Rattus norvegicus: one gene and its partners. The protein of the gene in region 2 interacts with the protein of the main gene of each other region in a pairwise test. Links are inferred from orthologs where the notes say so. Each region holds a gene or a part of one and is shown on either strand. Other genes may lie near its edges.

Region 1 (5,949 bases), on a different chromosome or scaffold from region 2:
ATGGTCCTTGGGGCTCATCGCATAGGCAAAGCACAGGCCTTTACTTCTTTTGGTTCTGCTGTTTGTTCCATTTCTGTGACTGAGAAAAGGCCTGAGTTGGTGACAACCTGTCTGACCCACTGATAAGTTCAGAGGACAAGGTAGACAAGGCTACCCATCTTCTCAGGTTATCTCCAGAGCAGTCCCTCTAAAAAGTGTCTATGAATGTCCAGGCCTTGCAAAAATTCCACCCCGATTATTTACAGAGCTAAGGACAAAGGTTAGGGATGCTTATTCTGCTACTGCTTAATTTGGCTGGCTCTGGGCTGGGCCTGGGGCCCAGTGACTCAAGGGGAGCTTGGTGAGTTTCGAGGGAGCTGTGAGTCATGAAGACTAACTTGGTCTCCAGACTGACTCTGGGCAGAAGGCCTTTTAACTCACTGCTGAGGATACTCTGCTTCCTTGGAGCAGAGGTCTGTTAGCAAAGAGTGCTCCAAAGCCTGATCCGTGAAGAGTTTTGAGCCCAACGGATGAGGCCTGAATCCCTGAAATTTAAATGTATTTTTATCTCAGGAGCCTCCTGGGGTCTCCAAACAAAGGCAAAAGGGAGGGGGGTGCGAATGCCATCTTTCAGTATGGATGGAGATACGGTACGACTTTAGGTCTTTTTTTGCCTGCTTTTGTAGAAAGCTTACTAGATAGCAACAACGCTCTTGGAGCTCTATTTCGGGATGGGGTGGGGGGATGAATGGGCTTGGGGTTATGTGTGGTTGTGTTTGGTATGAGTTGGAGATTGTTGAACTGTATCTGTGAAAGCCCTGGAGCTTCCTATTAATTTACTTAAGAACAGGAAGTGTGGAGGAGAAAGATTTGTTGAGCGCTGAGAGGATGAAGTCTGAATGAGGTTAAATGACAGGGCAGAGAATTGCTTAGGACTTGGACAGAAAAAAGGGTTAAGGAGGTGGGCGGGGCGACATTGGGTAGGCCTGCCCTTATGTGGACCAATAGGCGTGCGCCCCTTGGAGAGGGCGTGACTCACGCTTGAGGTTGCTGAGAGGCTGGCCTCCACTGGACCAATGAACATAGTTGTTGCCCTTGGAGGGTGTGGTCTGAGGGGGGCGTGGCAGCCGTGGTCGCAGTGCTGGGGGTGGCTGGGCGCTGGGCGGGGCGGGCGGCCCCATCAGCTGGTAGGAAATGGCCTGTGAGTCAGAGGGGCAGCTGAGTCTGCGGCGAGGAGCCGGGGCGGCCCCGGGGAGGGACCGTCGCAGGGAGGGGTGCAACAGCAGCTAGAGGGGCTGCGTACGCCAGAGCCCGCTAGTGTTGCACACGAAGCTGATCAGAGAAGAGCCAAGCAGAGCAAGGCTCTCAGCCTAAGCCACCCTTTGTCTGGGTTGGGGGCCCGTAGTAGGGGGGACTGGTTATCCGAGGGGAGGGACAGGGATCGGAACGGGGACGGGACGGAAGGGCCCGGAGCAGCGGCCACCGCGGCGGAGCCAATTTGGGAGTGGGGTGAGTGTGTACTAGGTGGAAGGATCAGATCTCCAAAACCTCTGCACGGTATGGGGCCTGTCCCAGCCTGTGAAGAAGGGATGAGAACCGACCTGGGAGGCTGAGCAGGGGGTGGGGGGGAAATCGTCCAGGACAAGGAGTCCAGGAGCCAAGGTGAGTCTCCGTGTCTGAGTTTGGAGGGGTCCCTGAGGTCTGCTCCCTCTCTATTAAGGGTGAAGGGCTCTAGGCCAGGAGTCAGAGGGAGGGAAGGTGAAAAGCAGAGATTGACCTTTCTACTCACAGCAGTGGTCTTGGGAACAGTCACCTTAGCGTGTATAGACATGTATGAGGACAAAATGTACAGCAGTGAGCAGCGGAACTCTGCCTAGGATAAGAGTGGAAAACACATGGATAGGAATTCTTCCCCCACCTCGTTAGGGTAAAAATGGGTGTCTTGAAACTGAAGGGAAGGATAGAATGAGCCTAGGTGTTCTTCCTGTACCACAACCTCTCCCACCTCCCAAGTCTAACAAGTATCTGAGGGTACAGACCTCATGGTATTCTGGGACTTGTTGTTTTTGCTGACCTTGCTCTCGGCATGTTGGGAGCTGTAGTCCTTGGCAGCCACAGTCTGGCACAGCTGTTTAATGCCAGCTGCTGCCCATCCCCAGTGTAGAGGGCGAGGTTTGGCTTATACTGGCCTGTCCCCTCTCCCTGCAGTCCTTCCCCATGAGTCAGCTTGAAGCTGGGTGGCAGAGGAGTGAGTCTTAGAGCGTCTCTGGACAGGGAGGGAACTAATAGGGCTCTGGATTAATGAGCAGATGCCAGGCATGCTGGGGTCAAGTAGGGCATCATGTCATCACCTGGCTTCCTTGAGGCAAGAGCTCAGGAGGGCAACTGAGATGACCTGGAAATTGGGGTGCTCAAGAAAACGCCCTTCTTGAACTTTAAAGCCTGGGTGGAGAACAGGCAGGGAAGAAATGAGAACAGGTTATACTCTCATGACACTGCCACTACTGACGTTCTCCACTTTCTAGCCATCTCACCCACGGGAAGGACCAGAATATTCTTAGGATCTCATTCAAAGGGGGACCTGGCGAAATGGCAAAGTATGGCCTGAAAGGAAGGCAACAGTTGATGTGGGAGAGTTTCTCAGTCCCTAAGTGTAAATGTCACCTTTCTCTCCGTCTCCTACAACCACATGAGCTGCTGCAGTTTCCCCCTGTACAATTAATCTCTCCACTCTTCACCCGTAGTGTTTCTCTACACTGTCAGGACTGCTGACCAAATCACTAGTGCTAGTATTTAGGCTTTTTTGAATTCTGATGTGTGTTTCTCCTGAGCTTGAAATGGGACTGGGGAAGAAACACAGACCCATCCTCAGGTGTGACATAATCAGAAGTAAACGGAAGTATTACCGGGTTACAGAAAGTAGTTAGTGGCACTGTCTTATGGAAGTCTGAGATGAGAGATCTTTTGGAGGGGAATGACTTTGAGATATCCGTGAAAGAGGGGTGGGAAAAGGTATTTTGTTATATTTGTTGGGCTTGGTTCTAGTTTTTGTTTTGTTTTGTTTTGTTTTCTGGAGACAGGTTTTTCACTGGGCTGGCTTTGAACTCAGAGATTTGCCTGGCTGTGCCTCCAGAGTGTGTGAACTAGCGTGTACTACCACCCTTCAGCTTCTTTGTTGGTTTTGTGTTTTGTCTGAGATAGGATGTCTTGTAGCCCCGTCTAACCGTCTGACCTTAACTGTCTGGTGGAGTGTGAAGGCCGGCTGTAACCTGTTTTTCATTTGTTTCTTTTTGTAATTTTTGTTTTGTTTGATTTTGACAGAGGACCTCTCAAAATGTAGCTAGACTGGTTTAGATCCTCCTGCCTCAGCCTCTAGCATTATGATAAAGGGCATTATGGTTGGTATTCCTCACAGACTGCTGACCAAATAAGGATGACAGTGGGGACTGTTGGCCTTCAACTTGACAGTCTGGTCACTGAAATATTGGCTAATGGTCTGTGAAGACCATTTTTGTGCCATGGCAACAAAGAAATGCTTTAGGTTTTTTTGAGTACTGGTTGTGCCTGAGGGGGAGGGGCATGGGGAGATACTCCAGTTGTTTCTAGTTGACTGCTTGCTGCTTCCTTATCTCTGGTTTGCAGGGCCTGGGGGGAGGGGTGGGAACTATAAAGTGCCTTCTGACAGTTCTCTCCTTCCATCCCTTGTTTTTGGTTAGATTTCTTTTTTTTTTTTTAAAGATTTATTTATTTATTATATATAAGTACACTGTAGCTGTCTTCAGATACACCAGAAGAGGGCATCGGATCTCTTTACAGATGGTTGTGAGCCACCATGTGGTTGCTGGGAATTGAACTCATGACCTCTGGAAGAGCAGTCGGGTGCTCTTAACCGCTGAGCCATCTCTCCAGCCCTAGATTTCTTTTTTTGTTTTTTTTTGTTTTTCTTTTTTGGGGGTGGAGGGGTTAGGGGGTGAAGGTAACAGGGTTTCTCTGTATAGCCCTGGCCATCCTGAAACTCTCTCTGTAGACCAGGCTGGCCTTGAACTCAAAGAGACCGGCCTGCCTCTACCTTCCCAGTCCTGGGATTAGAGGTGAGCACCACCAATCCCAGCACCACCACTGCCCCGCTTTGGATTTCTTTTCTCTGTTAAAAAGACAGATTTCTGGGGAAAGTTAGTATTTTAAGTGTGAAGGGCTGGCCTGGAGCTGACTTGGGGTTTGTAGTTGTGTGATGGGGTGTGCCTATCTGCATGACCTCTGCTCTTAGCACTCTGGAGTCGCACTTGCCCCTTTGTATAGACATATGGAGATGAGTTGTGTAATTGGAGGGCCTTGAGTAAGAGAAGAACACTGTTACCCTGTCCACCTACTAGCTGACATGGAATCTCTCTGATCTTTGAGGCATCTTACCCCTCCCCCCCTCCCCCACCCCACTATGCAGAGCCACTTCCCAAGATGGAGGCCTTGACAAGTGGTTCATCTTGCCTCTACTCATTTCTCACATCCTTAAGACAGTCAGCCAAGACTTGCTTCTGTGTTGAGTCCTCAGGTAGCCCAATTCTTATGCATGTGCCCTAGGTCTCCAGCCTGCCCCTTCTATTCCTGAAGAGTTTATCCCAAAGCGGGAAGATATCTTGGTGTATGTGCCGATATAGTAGCCCATATTAGTGTTGGGGGGATCTTACCATTGGCTGCAGGGATCCCAGCTTATATTTCCTCTTTTCCCTCAGGGTCCAACTGAGCCCAGGAGCTGCGCGGAATGGTGGCAGTCACCTTGCCGGTGCAGTGGGCATGGACCAGACTGCAAGCTAGAGGGACAAGACATCAGACAGGAAAAGAGGACACACGCCCAGGCTTGAGGCTTCTTCATCGGGGTAACTTCCAGGAAAGAGGGGAGGGGTGTATTGCAAGTCCAGTAGGAAACTGGAAGAGAAGGTGTGCCCCTCCCAGGAGTTCCGAGAGTGGTCTCTGACTTTCATTGGTCTGTCCAGGGATTTGGACAACTTTACCCCCAACAAATTGCTCAAAGTCATCTGTTGAGGAGAGAGGGAGGATCTGAAACTCTGCTGGAAGAAAGAAGACTCCTTGATTCTCCTGACCTCCTGTTTTTCTTTCCTACAGATGTCCCCAGGCCTCCCAGCCCAGGCCCAGCATAAAGGCCGTGTGGGGGGGCCCCCCTGACCCAAGGGGGGCTTCATGCGCCACGTGCAGGCGGAGCTGTCTCCATCCTCAGAGCCAGAGGCTGGCCCTTCACAGCCTCCAGTCACACAGGGGACCCTCCAGGGTGGCCTGCTCATGGGCTACAGCCCAGCAGGGGGGGCAACATCCCCCGGGGTCTACCAGGTATCCATCTTTTCCCCTTCAGCTGGCGTCTCCGAGCCTCCTAGGGCTCTGAAGCGGCCGGCCCCTTCCACTGAGGGTCCCCGGGAGCTGAAGAGAGGCCCTGGGCTGGGGGCCAGAGAGGGACTACCCCCCGAAGAACCATCTACTGTGGGACTCGTGAGCCCAGAGGGACTGGGTCTGGGACTGGGTGTGGCTAGCCAGCATTTCTCCCACCATGGCCTCCGTGTTGTGGAACAAGGAGGTAGTGCCACCTCATCTTGGACTTCAGGGACCCAGAGTACCCCCTGGCCCTCATCAAATGCTTCCTGCAATACTTTGCACACCAGAGACTGGGCTTTCCCAGATCAAGGGGGACAGGGGTGCCTGGGGGAGTCTCCAGGGCCAGCCCCTTCAGGCCAGCTGCACACACTTGACACTGATTTGCACAATCTTGCACAAATAGGGGGTAAGAGCCCAGTGGCTAGGGTGGGCAACGGGAGCAACCCTTGGCCTAGGGAGTCCCATGGAACTGCCAATGGGCACAGTCCCGAGCACACACCCCCTGGCCCTGGACCTCCAGGCCCCTGCCCCACCAAGCGAAGGCTGCTGCCTGCTGGAGAAGCCCTTGATGTCAGCTCTGAAGATGAG
Region 2 (7,866 bases):
TTGACTGCTGAGACATTCACTTTTGTTCACGTGTGTATTCCTGCCTTCTCATCTGTATGTGCACAATGTTGGGGTCCAGGAGTAGCCTCACAAACCACACAGACACCCATCTCAGTCAGACAGGATAGTTTATTGAGCATAGACCCCAGGACTGGTCCACTAGGACCATGGTTCAGATTCAGGAACTGAACCATGACCCCAAGTTAAGATCCTACAGGGTTTAAAAATCTATAAACATTTGTGCCAAGTTATTTCGCCAATCAGGATTCAGGGATAGGAGACTTCCTTAGGAACATGTCTTTGTTGTACATTTATCCTGTTTCCATGGGTTGGGGTGTTCAACTGTGGCAGGGACTTGCCTTGTCTAACATTCATGTCTTAATTTGTCAACCAGGATATCAGTTACCCACATACATGTCTCTTTCTGCTAAGTAGGCTGTCAGTTCCCAGGAAGGTCTTGGGACTTCTTATTCTCAAGAAATGGAATGGAAATCTTATTCCAAATAGTTTCTTATATTGGTGTGGGTGTCTCTCTTATGTTGGGGTCCATCCCAGGGGCAGCGTGGACCATAAAAGCTTATACACAGGTGCAGTAAGTGCTGCTGGGTAGCTGGTTCGGGGCCAAACTTACAAAACAGTTCTACCGACTTCTGTCATGATTGGTTTCCAGGGGCACAGAACAGAACAGAATATGTAGTCAATCTTGGCATCAGAAAGTTTCCTAGTAGCAGCAGAAACTTACGAGACAGTTTCGTTAGAACAGCAGACTATCAAAGGCAGGTTCTCCGGAAGCGCAGCAAGAACTCTTACCTGCAGATCCATCTCTCTAGCTCCAATAAAAATGATTCTTGCGGGGCTTGGGGATTTAGCTCAGTGGTAGAGCGCTTGCCTAGGAAGCGCAAGGCCCTGGGTTCTGTCCCCAGCTCCGAAAAAAAGAACCAAAAAAAAAAAAAAATGATTCTTGCAAGGCTCCGTGGTGCCCATCTGTAGTCTTAGCAGTTTTCGAGAGTGAGTGCGAGGCTGGCTTGAGCTCACAAGTTGGAGACTAGCTTGGGCCCTCTAAGGAAGGATGGAGTTTCTATAGTGCATACAGCAGAGACTAAGACTTGAGAGGAGGAGCTCCCACATTTTTTCCTGAGTTCTTGCTCTTAGTCACTGTGCTGGGGATATTTAGATGCATTTGCTGCCGAGTGCATGCTAGGAACTCTTGTTCCCTCTCAGCCCCTGCGCCTTCTTCCCTGTTTGACCGAGATGCTCCTCGTTCACATCAATGACTCAAGGCTATCACAGGAGCTCTCCATGCACTTTACAATAGCTCTGTAACTGCTTTCCGCTTGATTGGTAGTTCTTAAAGATTTATTCATTTTATTTATATCAGTACATTGTAGCTGTCTTCAGACACACCAGAAGAGGGCATCAGATCCCATTACAGATGGTTGTGAGCCACCGTGTGGTTGCTGGGAATTGAACTCAGGACCTCTGGAAGAGCAGTTGGAGCTCTTAACCGCTGAGCCATCTCTCCAGCACCTGATTGGTAGTTTTTGACTCGAGTCTCAGAATCCACTGAGAATTTGGCTGGTGAAGGTTATGGATATCTACCTGGGATAACATACACACAAATTCTGGGTACAAAACTGGGAGTAGAAAGTGGCAGTGTGCTCTCTCTCATGCTCATGCACATTTGTGTGTGTGTGCACGCACGTGCATTGTGTGGTGTCTCCATTGATCATTCTAAACCCATTCATGAGCCCTCAGATTCCCTTCCTTTTATTTGGGACGGTGGTGAAAAATTTAACTTTCACAACTAACCAGGCCCAATTTAGCTTTCTAGCTTCGTTTTCAGTTACATACTAAAGGTAAGGTTTTAGCATACACTCCTACACCTTCAGACACCAGCTTTGATATATATATACACAAACTGATGGCATGACTGCTCCATAGTATGCTAGACCTGGTCATTAGAGGAGAGAGAGAGAGAGAGAGAGAGAGAGAGAGAGAGAGAGAGAGAGAGAGAGAGAGATAGAGAGAGAGAGAGAAACACTGAAAACAGCAGGGTTATAAGGTGAATGAGTAGCTTGAGGAAGGGGAACCCGTGAGCTGGGGAGTTTGGAGTAGGGAGATGAGAAGAGCTGGGAATGTGTAACTGGTATTTATGGTACTAAGGGAACCTGAAGGCCTGATGTGCTTTGGTATGCTAATAGTCACCAGAAATAGTCACATGTCCCTTCTGCCAGGAATAAGGAGAATGACTCTTTTTGATACAGGGAACCAACTTTACAAGTTTGTTTGTTTGTTTGTTTGTTTGTTTTTTGTTTTTTTTTTTTCAGAGACAGGGTTTCTCCGTGTAGCCCTGGCTGACCAGGTAAGCCTCAACCTCGGCGAGATCCACTTATCTCTACCTCCCAAGTGTTGGGATTAAAGGTATGCGACACCATTGCTGGTTTTTATCCTACCACTAGAAATCTTCCTGTACTACAGGTTGAGTCCTTTTCTAGATATTTGGAGTTTGGGAAGTTGGAGTCTCCTTTGGACCCGAGATGAGGTCTCATGTAGCCCCGAGTATCTTGAACTTGCTATATAGTTGAAAATGATCTTGAACTCCTGATCCTCCTACCTCGATCTCATCTGGCAACTTCTGCTGCACTCATCACTTGGAAATCTACATCTGTACTCGATACTCTTTTCATCAAAGTCCAGTTATAGACATTACAACTCAGAAAGTTTAACAGTCCATAGACATTACAACACAGAAAGTTTAACAGTCCACCTCCCTCTCTTCCAGCCAAGTCTAACGAGTTTGAGTACACCGGCATGCTTGTAACTATGCACCTCTGATAGCGTAGCGCTTACCGTTGTTAACTTAATAAGAAGTCTGTCCCTATGAGGCGAGTTTGCTCCTCTAGTACGGGTTTGCTCTTACATTAAATTCTAGAACATGGATAACAAACAGCAGGTGCACAATACATAATAGGCATTCACAATGCTCATTGAATTCTCGCTGCAGGTTTGGAGAAGGCTAACATGCTTAAGACGGACCTGAGTGTTTCAAGTTCAGCTGCGAGGGAATCAGGCACGGAAAAACAGCAGCCAACAACCGGGGTAAGGGCTTTCTGAGAGAACATGAAATAAGAGGTAACGTTCAGGGTCAAGGGAGGGCATCCGCACGCGGCATACCGGAATCTGATACTGACGCTGCGCTGTCTGCTGGGATTTGTAGTCCCTCCCAGGGCAAGGCTCGCCGGATTACGGTTGCTACACTCAACCACAACATTCACAAGTAAAGTGCAGCATTCGTTCGTACATCACAAAAATTCCAATACAGGGAAAAATTACAAACTGACATCCTCATAGTTTAGCACTTGTACACGTTGACGTAGAGTTCTACCGTTCGGAGACGGAAGCGCGTGCGCAATGCTTACGCTCTGCGTGCAGCAGATGCTTCGCCTCCGGAAGTCGCGACCGGCGAGGCGGGCTAGGGGCGGTCTGCGCAGGCGCAGTGTCCCCGGGCCAAAATGGCTGCGCGGTGTTCCCCACGCTGGTTTAGGGTGGCGGTGGGGACCCCCCGGCTGCCGGCTGCAGCGGGGAGAGGGGTCCAGCAGCCCCAGGGGGGCGTAGTGGCAGCATCCCTGTGTCGCAAGCTGTGTGTCTCTGCCTTCGGGCTTTCCATGGGCGCTCACGGCCCCCGGGCGCTGCTGACATTGAGACCCGGTGTCCGCCTCACAGGTGAGGGAGGCTTCCAGTTCTGGAGTAGCAGCTCTTGGGGTTAGAAAGGGCAATTCGCCTCCATCTGACGACCAGGGTAGCGGGATGGAGGTGTCTTCCGGCCAGAGAGAGGAATTTCTGGGGACACAGGCAAGCAGGAGGCAGAGAGGCCAAGGTGCTGGCTACCCAGAAGCCGTCGAGGGGGAAGAGCTGCGTGGAGCTGGAGGTGTTGAAAGGCTCCGAATACCATGAAGACCTGTCAACAGTTCACCCCTCTGTCCAGGCTGCAACTCCCTTGTCATAACCCTCCCCGTTTTTCTTCACGTTCTAGCTTGTAGTGGAAGATGTAACTGCCATTTAGTGAGTGCTAGGCACCCAGAAATTTAGGGAGATACAGGTGCTTGTCCTCATTAAGGTGGGAAAGTGTGATGAATTGTCATTTCATAGCTTTCATCCTCAACATCACGGGGTGTAAATGGAAGGGCATCCATCAGTCTTTTAGAATCTTTAAGTCAGTGAGTGTAATAATGTAATCTAACATTTATTAAACACTGTGTAGGAAGTATGATTTCACTCCTGGAAAATATTTCAATGTGACAGGCATTGTTACCATTACATTTTATGGAGAAACAGGCTTGCATGTTAAAAAAAAAAAACAAAACTTGAGAAAGTCACAAAGCTAAAAAGCGGTAGTCTCTGCATGGCCCTTAACCTTCCTTACTGCTGGAGATGATACCAAATTAGTGTGCATTAAGCCTTGACATGTTTTAGCCATGCTCTCTTCTTTCTCTTTAAAAAATATTTTTTAATTATTTTGAGTTATGTATATGTGTGTGTATGTGTGGGTATGTGCTCTTAAGTACAGGTGTCCAAAGAGGCTAGAGGCATCTTATCCCCCTGGAGTTATGGGCAGTTATGAGCTGCTATACTTAGGGTCTAGGAACTGAACTTGTGTCCTCTACAAGAGCAGTATGTGCTTTTTTTTTTTTTTTCTTTTTTTTTTCTTTTTTTTCTTTTTTTCGGAGCTGGGGACCGAAACCAGGGCCTTGTGCTTCCTAGGCAAGCGCTCTACCACTGAGCTAAATCCCCAACCCCCAGTATGTGCTTTTAATTGCTGAGCCATCTTTCCAGCTGCCACGATATTTTCTTTTCTTTTCTTTCCTTTTTTTTTTTTTTTTTTTTCCGGAGCTGGGGATTGAACCTAGGGCCTTGCGCTTGCTAGGCAAGTGCTCTACCGCTGAGCTAAATCCCCAACCCCGATATTTTCTTATACTATGTTATTCCACTTCATTTTCAGTGAGAATGAAGGAAGGAAGTCCTGAACTTTACTTTGGGTAGTTCTAAGGATCAAGAACAGAGGGTCTCATGCATGCCTTAAAGCGTTTTTTAAATTATGTATCCGTGTGTGAGAGAGACATAGAGGCATTAAGTATTACTTATATATGGAAGCATTACTGAAGAACCACCGTTGGCATTCCTCAAGTCAGCCCATAGGCTGCAGTGGGCATATTTTATCTCTCAAGTGACCATAGATGTGAAAGTGTCATCCTGTAGTGGTGTATCCTACCACATCTAAGTCATCAATTTGGCCCCAAACTTTAGCCTGTGATCATTCTTGAAGACTGATTTATAAAATCATATGGCATGAAAAATGTCCCAAGCAGGGCCTGGAGAGATGGCTCAGCTGTTGGGAACTCAAGACTGCTTTTCCCGAGGACCCAGGTTCAATTTCAATTCCCAGCACCCATATGGTAGCTTTCAGCTGACTGTGGCTCTGGGTCCAGGGGATCTGACACCCCTTCACAGACATACATTCAGTCAAAATACCAAAACATATGAAATAAACAAGTCATTAAGAAAGAAATCTCCCAACTAGAAAGAAATTAATAACTGGCTACTGGATTAGGCTTTCTTGGAATAATATGAAGACTGATCCTATTCTGGGTTCAAAAACAGCAAGATATTTACTGGACATATTCTGGAGAAAAAAAAAGATTCTTCCTAACAGTTGCTAATCATTGTCACCTTCAGAATTGGAAAAGGCATCCACCATGTAATAGTTGCCTGTGGTTATTTGTGCAGTTTCCTTGAGCTCTCTGATGGTGTTGTAGAAGCTGGTACAGCTGCCAAACTTTTGCCACTAATAGACTCAACTCCTGACAGTGGAAGGAGTGAGGAGAACAGGAATACAGCTAGGCATATATTGAGCAAAGAGGTGGAATATAGGATCACCAAGATCCAGGTCTCATGCTTTCTCCGGTGTGACTGAAGAAACAATAACAGCCCCCCCTTTAAATCATATTCTGATTATTTCTGATTATTCCTGCTCGTTTTTTATTATTACTCCTTTTTTCTACATGTGCTCAGCCTCTCTAGCTAATGTTTTTTGTTTGTTTTTGTTTGTAGTTTGGTGTCATATGTACCAGGCTGGCCTGGAACTTTTGTGTAGCTATGAATGGACCTTGAACTTTTTTTTTTTTTTTTCCCCCCTCAGGGCTGGGGATTGAACCCAGGACCTTGCGCTTCCTAGGCAAGGCTCTACCACTGAGCCAAATCCCCAACCCCGACCTTGAACTTTTGATCCTCTGTTTCCCTCTCCCCATGTTAAGACTGTGGGCATGTGCTCATCGTCACTGTTGTGCTGGGTTTATTCAGTGCAGGGAATCAAACTCAGGGCCTGGTAAGCAGTGTACCTACTGAACTATGTCCCTAAGCTTTCCCCACATTTGAAGAACATTGAGTTTGGCCTCTAGAGTACTCGAAGGGAATAGGCCCTATAGCTGGGGCTCGTTTCCTCTTTCACAGGTGTTTCATAGCTGGTCACTTACTTATAATTTCTTCTTGTTGGATAAAGTCCCAGACCAACTTACTTTCTTGTTCATTTCCAGGAACAAAAAGTTTCCCTTTTGTTTGTACTGCTTCCTTCCACACAAGTGCTTCTTTGGCCAAAGATGATTATTACCAGATACTGGGAGTACCCCGAAATGCCAGCCAGAAGGATATCAAGAAAGCCTATTATCAGGTCTGTACTGGTCTCAGATTTACTGACAAGACTGTAGAAAGATTGCTGGTCACTGTGTGTGCATGTGCATGTGTATGTGTGTATGTGATGCAGATGTTCACAGAGGGCAGGGATCCCCTTGGGATTATAGTTACAGGCAGCGTGAACCATCTGCCACGGCTGAGAATTGAGTTCAGGTCTTTTGGAAAAGGGGTATGTGCTCTTAGCTACTGAGCTATCTCTTCAACCCAAATCGTTGTTGATTCTGTGTGGTTCTTATTGCCTTGGTATACAGCCTGCTGAGGCAGGTCACAAACAGCTGATCCTGTGGAATGACCTGTGAAAGATGGAGAGTTTTGGATGCCTTTGGTATGCAGTGAATGTGATATCAGTTAATGTTGCTTTAAGAAAGAAAAGGGGTGGGTAAGATGGCCCAGTGGATAAAGTCATTTGACACCAAGCCTAGTGACCTGAGTTTAATTCCTCCAAAACCATTTTAAACAGGAGAGAACTGACTCCACAAAGTTGTCCTCTGACCTCTACATGTATACCATGCTGACCACACAGTTATGACATAAATAAATGAAAATTATATAGGAAAACATCATCATTATTATTTTTTATAGCAGTAACTGCCATGAGTGCATTACATAATCCCTCAAAACCTTGCACAGCAGGCAGGCCAGGTATGGTTGTGCATGCCTTTTTATCCCAGTCCTGGGAGACAGAGGCAAGCAAAGTTCTGTGAGTTTAAGGCCAGTTTCTCTCAAAACAAACAAACAAAAAAACCAAAAAACCCACAAAAAACAAAGCCAGGCAGTGGTGGCGCATGCCTTTAATCCCAGCACTCAAGAGGCAGAGTCAGGGGGATCTCTGAGTTTAAGGCCAGCCTGGTGAACAGAGCTCATTCCAGGACAGCCGGGGCTTCATAAACCCTGACTTGTAAATCCAAACAACCAAAGTCGTACAGGTTATTTACTTCCTCTATTACATAAGTCAGTGTGCCAGGATGGCGTTTTACTCTCTGCTTTCACACAGGCGCCTGCATGCCGAAGAGCTAGTCACACAGTTACCAGCTACTTTCTAACATTTATTTATTTTTGGTTTATGTGCATGAGCGTTTGTCTCATGCATGTGTGCTGCATGCGTTCTCCGTGCCTTCA
Region 3 (6,148 bases), on a different chromosome or scaffold from region 2:
CTCTGCCCCCAGGCCCCCACTTTGGTGCTCCAGGCTATGGGAGCCCCCATTTCACCACACTCTACTCGGTCCCTTTTCCTGAGGGCGAGGCCTTTCCCTCTGTTCCTGTCACTGCTCTGGGCTCTCCCATGCATTCAAACTGAGGCACCAGCCCTCCCTGGGGATGAGGTGAGCCAAGGCAAGGAAGGGAGGTAGACAAAGAGAACCTGAAGCTTTGGGGCCTAGATTCTTTTACTGGGGAGGAATTGAAAGCACAAACAGGGGTGGTTGGGGGGGCGGGGGGGGAGAGATGAAGTTCAGTGACGCTGTTGATCAGGAACCCGTCCGAAGTTCTTAAGTTCTTAAATAAAGTCTGGGATACACAGTAGATAGCTAAATTTTGTTTTCCTTCAGTTCCTAGAGGGCCTGAGGATGGAGAAAGCCAATAATGGAATTCTCAAACCCAGGCGGTCTTCAGAACAGGCGCCATTGAAACCGTGGGAGGTTACGAAACGCCCAAAGGGTTATTGGGGGTTGGAGGTCAACCTATAGAGGAAGGTATTGTGTGCCTGCCATCCTAGAGGATTTAAAGTCTGCCAGCCGAAGGATCTCGTCACCTCATCTTGCAGACTTGAGACTCAGTGAATGCCCCGATGTAGGTGAAGCAGTTTATTCTTTATTTGGAAATCAAAGGCAAAGCTCCGAAGAGCCAGTCACAAATACCTAGTTGGTGGCAGGATTAGCTAGCCTTGGCATGAGCGAAACCTTGGGGCTGTGCTCTGGGTCGTCCAGGGTGCGTTAGCCGATGCCGTTCAAGAACATTAGGGTTAGGGTGGGTGCTCAGTACAGGGGACTTGCCTGGTATGCTGGCCTCAGCAAAATAAGAAGACATTTAGCACCCCTTCTTAATGCCTTCAGGGATGGTTCCTGTGATTGATGCTCTAACTGTAGGATCCTGGTGTTTGTGGAAACGGGGCTTTACTCCTTGTTACTTAACTTGGAGGCTGCAGCTCTTTTTCCTGTCACTTCAGCCATAGTGCTCTCCAGCCTTGAGTCAGTCTTCTCTAGCAGTGGACCTCTCCCTGTGGTCATTCCCTTTGGAGAAAGACGTTTCTCAAAGTCCATGGTTACTTTTGAATGAGTGGTGCTTTGCGCACCCGCTCTCGCTCTCTCTCTCTCTCTCTCTCTCACTCACACACACACACACACACACACACACACACAGCCAGCTTCAGCCCTTCAAGCCATTCTTTAGTCTTCCAGTGTGTGCTGTTTGCATGTGTATCTGCAGGTCAGAAGAAGGCATCAGATCCCTTTTAGAGATGGTGGTGAGCCCCACCATGTGATTGCTGCCAATTGAACTCAGGACCTCTCTCTGGAAGAGCAGCCAGTGCACTTAACTGCCCAGCCATCTCCCAACTCAAGATCCATTCTAACACTGTCTGACTCTGAGTTGAGGGAGCCACATCTGTGCCCTGACTGCAAAGTCAAGGTGCCAACGTGGCACCCTGGGTGCTACAGCCAATGTGGGTCATATGGTACCAAATATCACAGCCATCACACCAAAACCCAGGCTACTTATAGCAGCAGCAAGACACTACACAGGGTTCCCCACCCCTACGGGAGTATTCCTGGAAACACACTAGTGTTTCCGTTCTGAATGCTCTATCCTGACTATTATTTACCTGAGGCATTTGAGGCTAGCCTGGGCTACACAGTGAGATCCTTCCTTGTGTTTTTAAAAAAAGTAGAATTGGGTGTCTCAAGCTGTTCTTCCAGAGAGTATCTGGGTTTGAACCCCAGTACCTACATAGTGGCTAGGAACTACCCATCTAGTTACAGAGGACCCGTTGCCCTCTTCTGGCTACTGTTGGTACTGCATGAACAACTCGGCAGTCAAAACAGCCATGCACAAAATAAAAGCAGCCCTGGGTTAACCTGCTTTCTAGTTTTGAGACAGTTGTTGGGGTTGGGGATTTAGCTCAGTGGTAGAGCGCTTGCCTAGCAAGCGCAAGGCCCTGAGTTCGGTCCTCAGCTCCGGAAAAAAAAAAATGACATGAGAGACAGTTGTCTATACAGTTTTTTATATATGCTGCTGGGACTCCAACCCTGGGCAAGTCAGAGGGCATCCAATCTCATTACAGATGGTTGTGAGCCGCCGTGTGGTGGCTAGGACTTGAACTCAGGACCTCTGGAAGAGCAGTCAGTTCTCTCAACTGCTCCAGCCTCCCAGATTTTTTTTTTTTTTGATTATGATGTGGACCTCAGACTCACAATGTTGTAGTCATCATGCAGATTGTTTTTATAGTCTAATCCTAACTGTTATTCCCCACCCCACCCCCCCAGCCTTGCACATAGTGGCTCTCATGCATCTGTGGGTGAAGGCTAGCCCAGGTGCATGCTGTGTTTGTGCACCCCTCTCCCCTGCCTTCTGAGACCTCACAGGGAGGCTGTTCCGGAGTCTAGGGTTCAAGGTGCTAACAAGGTTAATGCTGGACTCTACTTACCCACTGGATATCAGAGCCGTTTTCTCCAAACGCAGCTTCTTCCTGGGCTCCATCAGGACTGAAAGGTGCCCCGGGGAAGCCTCACTCTCATCATCCAGTTCTGCCAACACTTTATGAGCCGATTTCCTCCGGTTTCTTGTGGGTGGAGCGGGTGAAGCTCCCACTTCCCCTGGCTGAGTGGGAACGGCCAGGCTCTGCTGCCGGCCACCGCCACGGGAGAAGGTGAGAGGCTGGGGCTGCAGCTTGCTGAGGCTGCCGATGGAATTGAGAATCAGTGTGGCCTTGGGGGCAGAGGAGAGGGTGCTGAGTGGCCTCTGAGGTGCCCCTTGTGGGGGCAGCATGGGCTGGAAACCGGCCCCAGTTTTTCCCTTGGACCGAGGGACCGTGATGGCGGCAAAGTCCTGAGGTTTGACCCGGACTTGTTGGAACATGAAGTAGAATTCGGAGGAGCTGGTTCCTGCTTGCCCTTCGGGGCCAAAGGTCAGGAGGTCACCGTCACTCAACTCCAGCCTGTGTCCCCTTGGGAGTCGGACATTATTGACCAAAGTCCCTGTTAATGGTGAGACAGGAGACAATTGACAAGAACAGGAACAGGCTTCTAGTCAGAAGTACCATGATGGTCTGGCCATTCGAGCCCCCCCCCCCCCCCCCCAAAACACACACCAGGAGAACACAGGGTCAGGCATTAAACTCCAAGAAGCAAGCTTATTTTTCTCCATGACAACGGGAGGCTTCCTTTCTGGGCTTAGCTCTTCTTGGATAAACAGCCCTTTTTCCCCCCTTCCTAAGATTCCCAGAACCCATGATTCCTCCTGCCTCAGCTCTGAAGTGCTGAGATCAGAGTACACCACCAATACTTGCCTCTTGCTGTCATTTTCTTTGTGTCTCACACCTAACACAGAATAAGACCTAGCCTATAACACCCTGAGCACTCACTTGCCTGTTGGGGACTAATGCCCAGGACACATCAGATAGGGCTTCTCCAAACCTGGTGTTTGACCTAACAGGAATCTAAGAACTGAACCCTAACCCCAGCCTTGGGGGGTGGGGGGGCTGCCTTGGGTTAGGACAGAATGCCTAGGTCACTAGAACACTCATAACTGCCTTAGTGACGGCAAGGTGCAAACAGTCAGATCTGAGCTTAATACTAGATCCATAGAATTTGATGAAAGTCAACACACCCCTCCTAGGTCCTGTGTGAGCTAAAACCAGACAAACAGGTTAGTCCTGTGAAGAGCTGACAGAAGCATAGTTCTCCTGGCCAATTAAGACTGGACCATGACCACTCGACAGAGACTGACAGGACTCTGGGAAGTACGAAGCAGGTTCCCAGAGGCTCCCCTTTCTCATGCCTACCTGGGGGCTGCCTGCTCACTGCTTACCTTGGCTGCTGTGATCCTCCAGGCTGACCCTCCAGTCGTCCCCTTGGAGTTCAGCATGCAGTTCTGCATGGACCCCAGAGATGAGGCCAGGCTCCTGCTGGGGCCGCAGGGCCACATCACACAGGTCAGCCCTGCAGCCCAACCGATAGGTGCAGCCAGACTTGGATGGGGGGTGGAAGGTATAGAGATCACCGCCCCTGCCGCCCCCTATGCGCAGCAGCTGGAAGCAGGGCAGCATGGGGGTGCCCCCTGTGCACCACTCCTCCCACTTTAGCAGTCCATTCCCCTCTTCTACTCCTGGGTCATGCGCCGTGGGCTTCGGTTCAGTTCTCTCCGATGCCAACTTAGGAAGTGCAGATTCAGAGCGCCCAAGGCCTGGACATGCACCACAGCAGAGGTTGTCAAGATGAGGTTTTAAGAAAAAACTCTAGCAAAGTCCTGATGCGATGCAAAACCAGGAAGACGTCCTACGGCAACACAGTGAAGCCGGATCCCCAGGCCGCTCAACATCCGGGAGCCTTTGACAATCTGTGCAGGGCAAAGCTAGTTTAATCCGCAGCTGGGAACATGCAGAGGGGGTGAAAGGGGTCCTGCTACATAAACGTGCGTGCGACACGACCTTGTCACCCTAAGTGTAACCTGGAGCCTGAGAACTTATGGTCAAACTTGCTAATCTAACTGGGGTACCCCTTCCATCCTCCCCCGTTCTTGGGGCCAGTTCCCCTGAGAAAAGTGAATCCGCTGTCACCCACAAAGGGCGGTGCAGACGGGTCCCTAATTCTGTAACAAAGTGGATCTCACCCTTTCCTTTTTTCGCTCGCGGGGTAAACTGAGGAAAGAGACTCAGCACCCTGGGCGCCGCGCTCCCGCCGCGGTTTGACAGCCAGGGAAGCCGCCCCGAGGGCGCGGCTTGGGTGGGCGAGCGCGCGCGCGCGCGCGCCGCGCAGACTCCTCCCTCGGAATTCCCGGGTCCGACTTTCGCGCCCGCGAGCCTGCTCCCGCGGTCTGCTTCTGATTGGTCATTTGAGTTGCGTCCCTCTGCTTTATTGGTCGGTGCGTGGGCAGGGGTTGCCTATCTCCCGCCCTCCGCCACTTCTGATTGGCCGGCACGTTTTCCCGGGTTCCCGGGAAGGGGCGGGGCTGTCAGGGCGCGGAGAAGATCTTGGGCGTCGGTGTTCCTGCGTGCACCTTTCTTCTTCCTATTTCCGGTAGGGGAGAAATGGTGCTGTAGAGCAGCCCGCCAACACACCCGCTTCGCGCATGCGTGATCAGGGTGTGGCGTCTAGACTGGGAGCTAGGTGTAAGGGGCGTGGCAAGAGGGCGGATCTCGCGCTGGGTAAGGGGCGTTCGGGCAGAGTCAGTTGGGGGCGGAAAGAGTCTGAGAGGGGGTACAAGGGGGGCGGAGGGGGGGTCCACAGGGCAAGAGGGGTGCAGGAGTCGGGTCAAGGGACAGATGAGGAGGTCAAGACAGCCTCAGAGTTCAGGGTGGTCCTGATAGGGTTGAGCCAGGAGTGTGTGCGGGAGAGGAGAGGGGGGAGACAGGACAGGGAGCCACCAAGATAATTCCATCGAGAAAGATTCAGACTAGGACTTAGGACTAGGAAGAGAAGCGGGTAGGAATTTCGGGGGTCGAGTGAAAAAAAAAAAAACTTGAATTAACGGAAGTGGGGGAAAGGAGATGCTGTAGGACTCTGAAGAGAGGTGCATCGGGGATGGAAATCCCCTAGGGGATAGAGTGCAACTGAAGCCAGTTACAGAGAGGCACAGATGAGTTAGCAGGAAGCTGGCTTCCCAGCAACGGGCTTCCAGGCTGCGCGGGTTCCTCCCTCGGGGATCCTAGGGAAGCCGCTTAACCCCACATGTGGCCTCATTCTTCTGGGGCCAGGCCTTGGGCTAACCCTTTAATAGGAAATGACCCAGAAATCGTGACTCGATGGTGCCTAGATGGGCTTCCCAACGGGCCTACCATTCCGTGGCGAGGACTGTGGAGACTGGGTTCCCTATACTGTGTTCAGAGAGTCCTGAGCTGCAGGGACCGTAGACACTTAAGGAGGAAGGTAAAGGCAACACCCAGAATCCTGTAAGTAGAAGCAAGCCTTCATCTCAGCAAATTTACCTTAGGGTTGTCGCCTGGTTCGTTAGAGCATGGTTGGGACAAACAAGTGGTTTGGCTATGGTCTGTCTTCTTAGGGAAGTAGGAAAAGAGAAGCCTATGGCCGGATAGACCTGCCAGTAACTTAAGGATTATGACTTTGTTGTTATAGGGCTTTCTCTTTGGAA

Evidence for each region.
Region 1: the proteins of Dnaja3 (region 2) and Atosb interact in binary tests that used the Homo sapiens proteins (3 or more experiments, as listed by UniProt). The link is inferred for Rattus norvegicus from reciprocal best matches to the Homo sapiens genes DNAJA3 and ATOSB.
Region 3: the proteins of Dnaja3 (region 2) and Tcf19 interact in a two-hybrid assay, tested with the Homo sapiens proteins (2 studies listed by BioGRID and IntAct). The two-hybrid records come from large-scale screens. The link is inferred for Rattus norvegicus from reciprocal best matches to the Homo sapiens genes DNAJA3 and TCF19.

Annotation. Positions count from the first base shown.
Region 1 is NC_086023.1:62,059,875-62,065,823, reverse strand, and holds the start of Atosb (atos homolog protein B), read left to right. Parts: upstream 1-1,210; 5' UTR 1,211-1,488; intron 1,489-1,501; exon of another isoform or gene 1,502-1,641; intron 1,642-3,937; exon of another isoform or gene 3,938-4,528; intron 4,529-4,709; 5' UTR 4,710-4,853; intron 4,854-5,100; 5' UTR 5,101-5,175; coding exon 5,176-5,949. UniProt on the Homo sapiens protein: Transcription regulator that may syncronize transcriptional and translational programs.
Region 2 is NC_086028.1:11,382,214-11,390,079, reverse strand, and holds the start of Dnaja3 (dnaJ homolog subfamily A member 3, mitochondrial), read left to right. Parts: upstream 1-3,480; 5' UTR 3,481-3,512; coding exon 3,513-3,723; intron 3,724-6,590; coding exon 6,591-6,724; intron 6,725-7,866. UniProt on the Homo sapiens protein: Modulates apoptotic signal transduction or effector structures within the mitochondrial matrix. Affect cytochrome C release from the mitochondria and caspase 3 activation, but not caspase 8 activation.
Region 3 is NC_086038.1:3,222,055-3,228,202, reverse strand, and holds Tcf19 (transcription factor 19), read right to left. Parts: upstream 4,740-6,148; 5' UTR 4,670-4,739; intron 4,397-4,669; 5' UTR 4,107-4,396; coding exon 3,869-4,106; intron 3,037-3,868; coding exon 2,487-3,036; intron 1,075-2,486; coding exon 1,068-1,074; 3' UTR 634-1,067; downstream 1-633. Other genes in the region: Pou5f1 (POU domain, class 5, transcription factor 1), read left to right, coding at 1-143; Cchcr1 (coiled-coil alpha-helical rod protein 1), read left to right, coding at 5,728-5,925. UniProt on the Homo sapiens protein: Potential transcription factor that may play a role in the regulation of genes involved in cell cycle G1/S transition. May bind to regulatory elements of genes, including the promoter of the transcription factor FOXO1.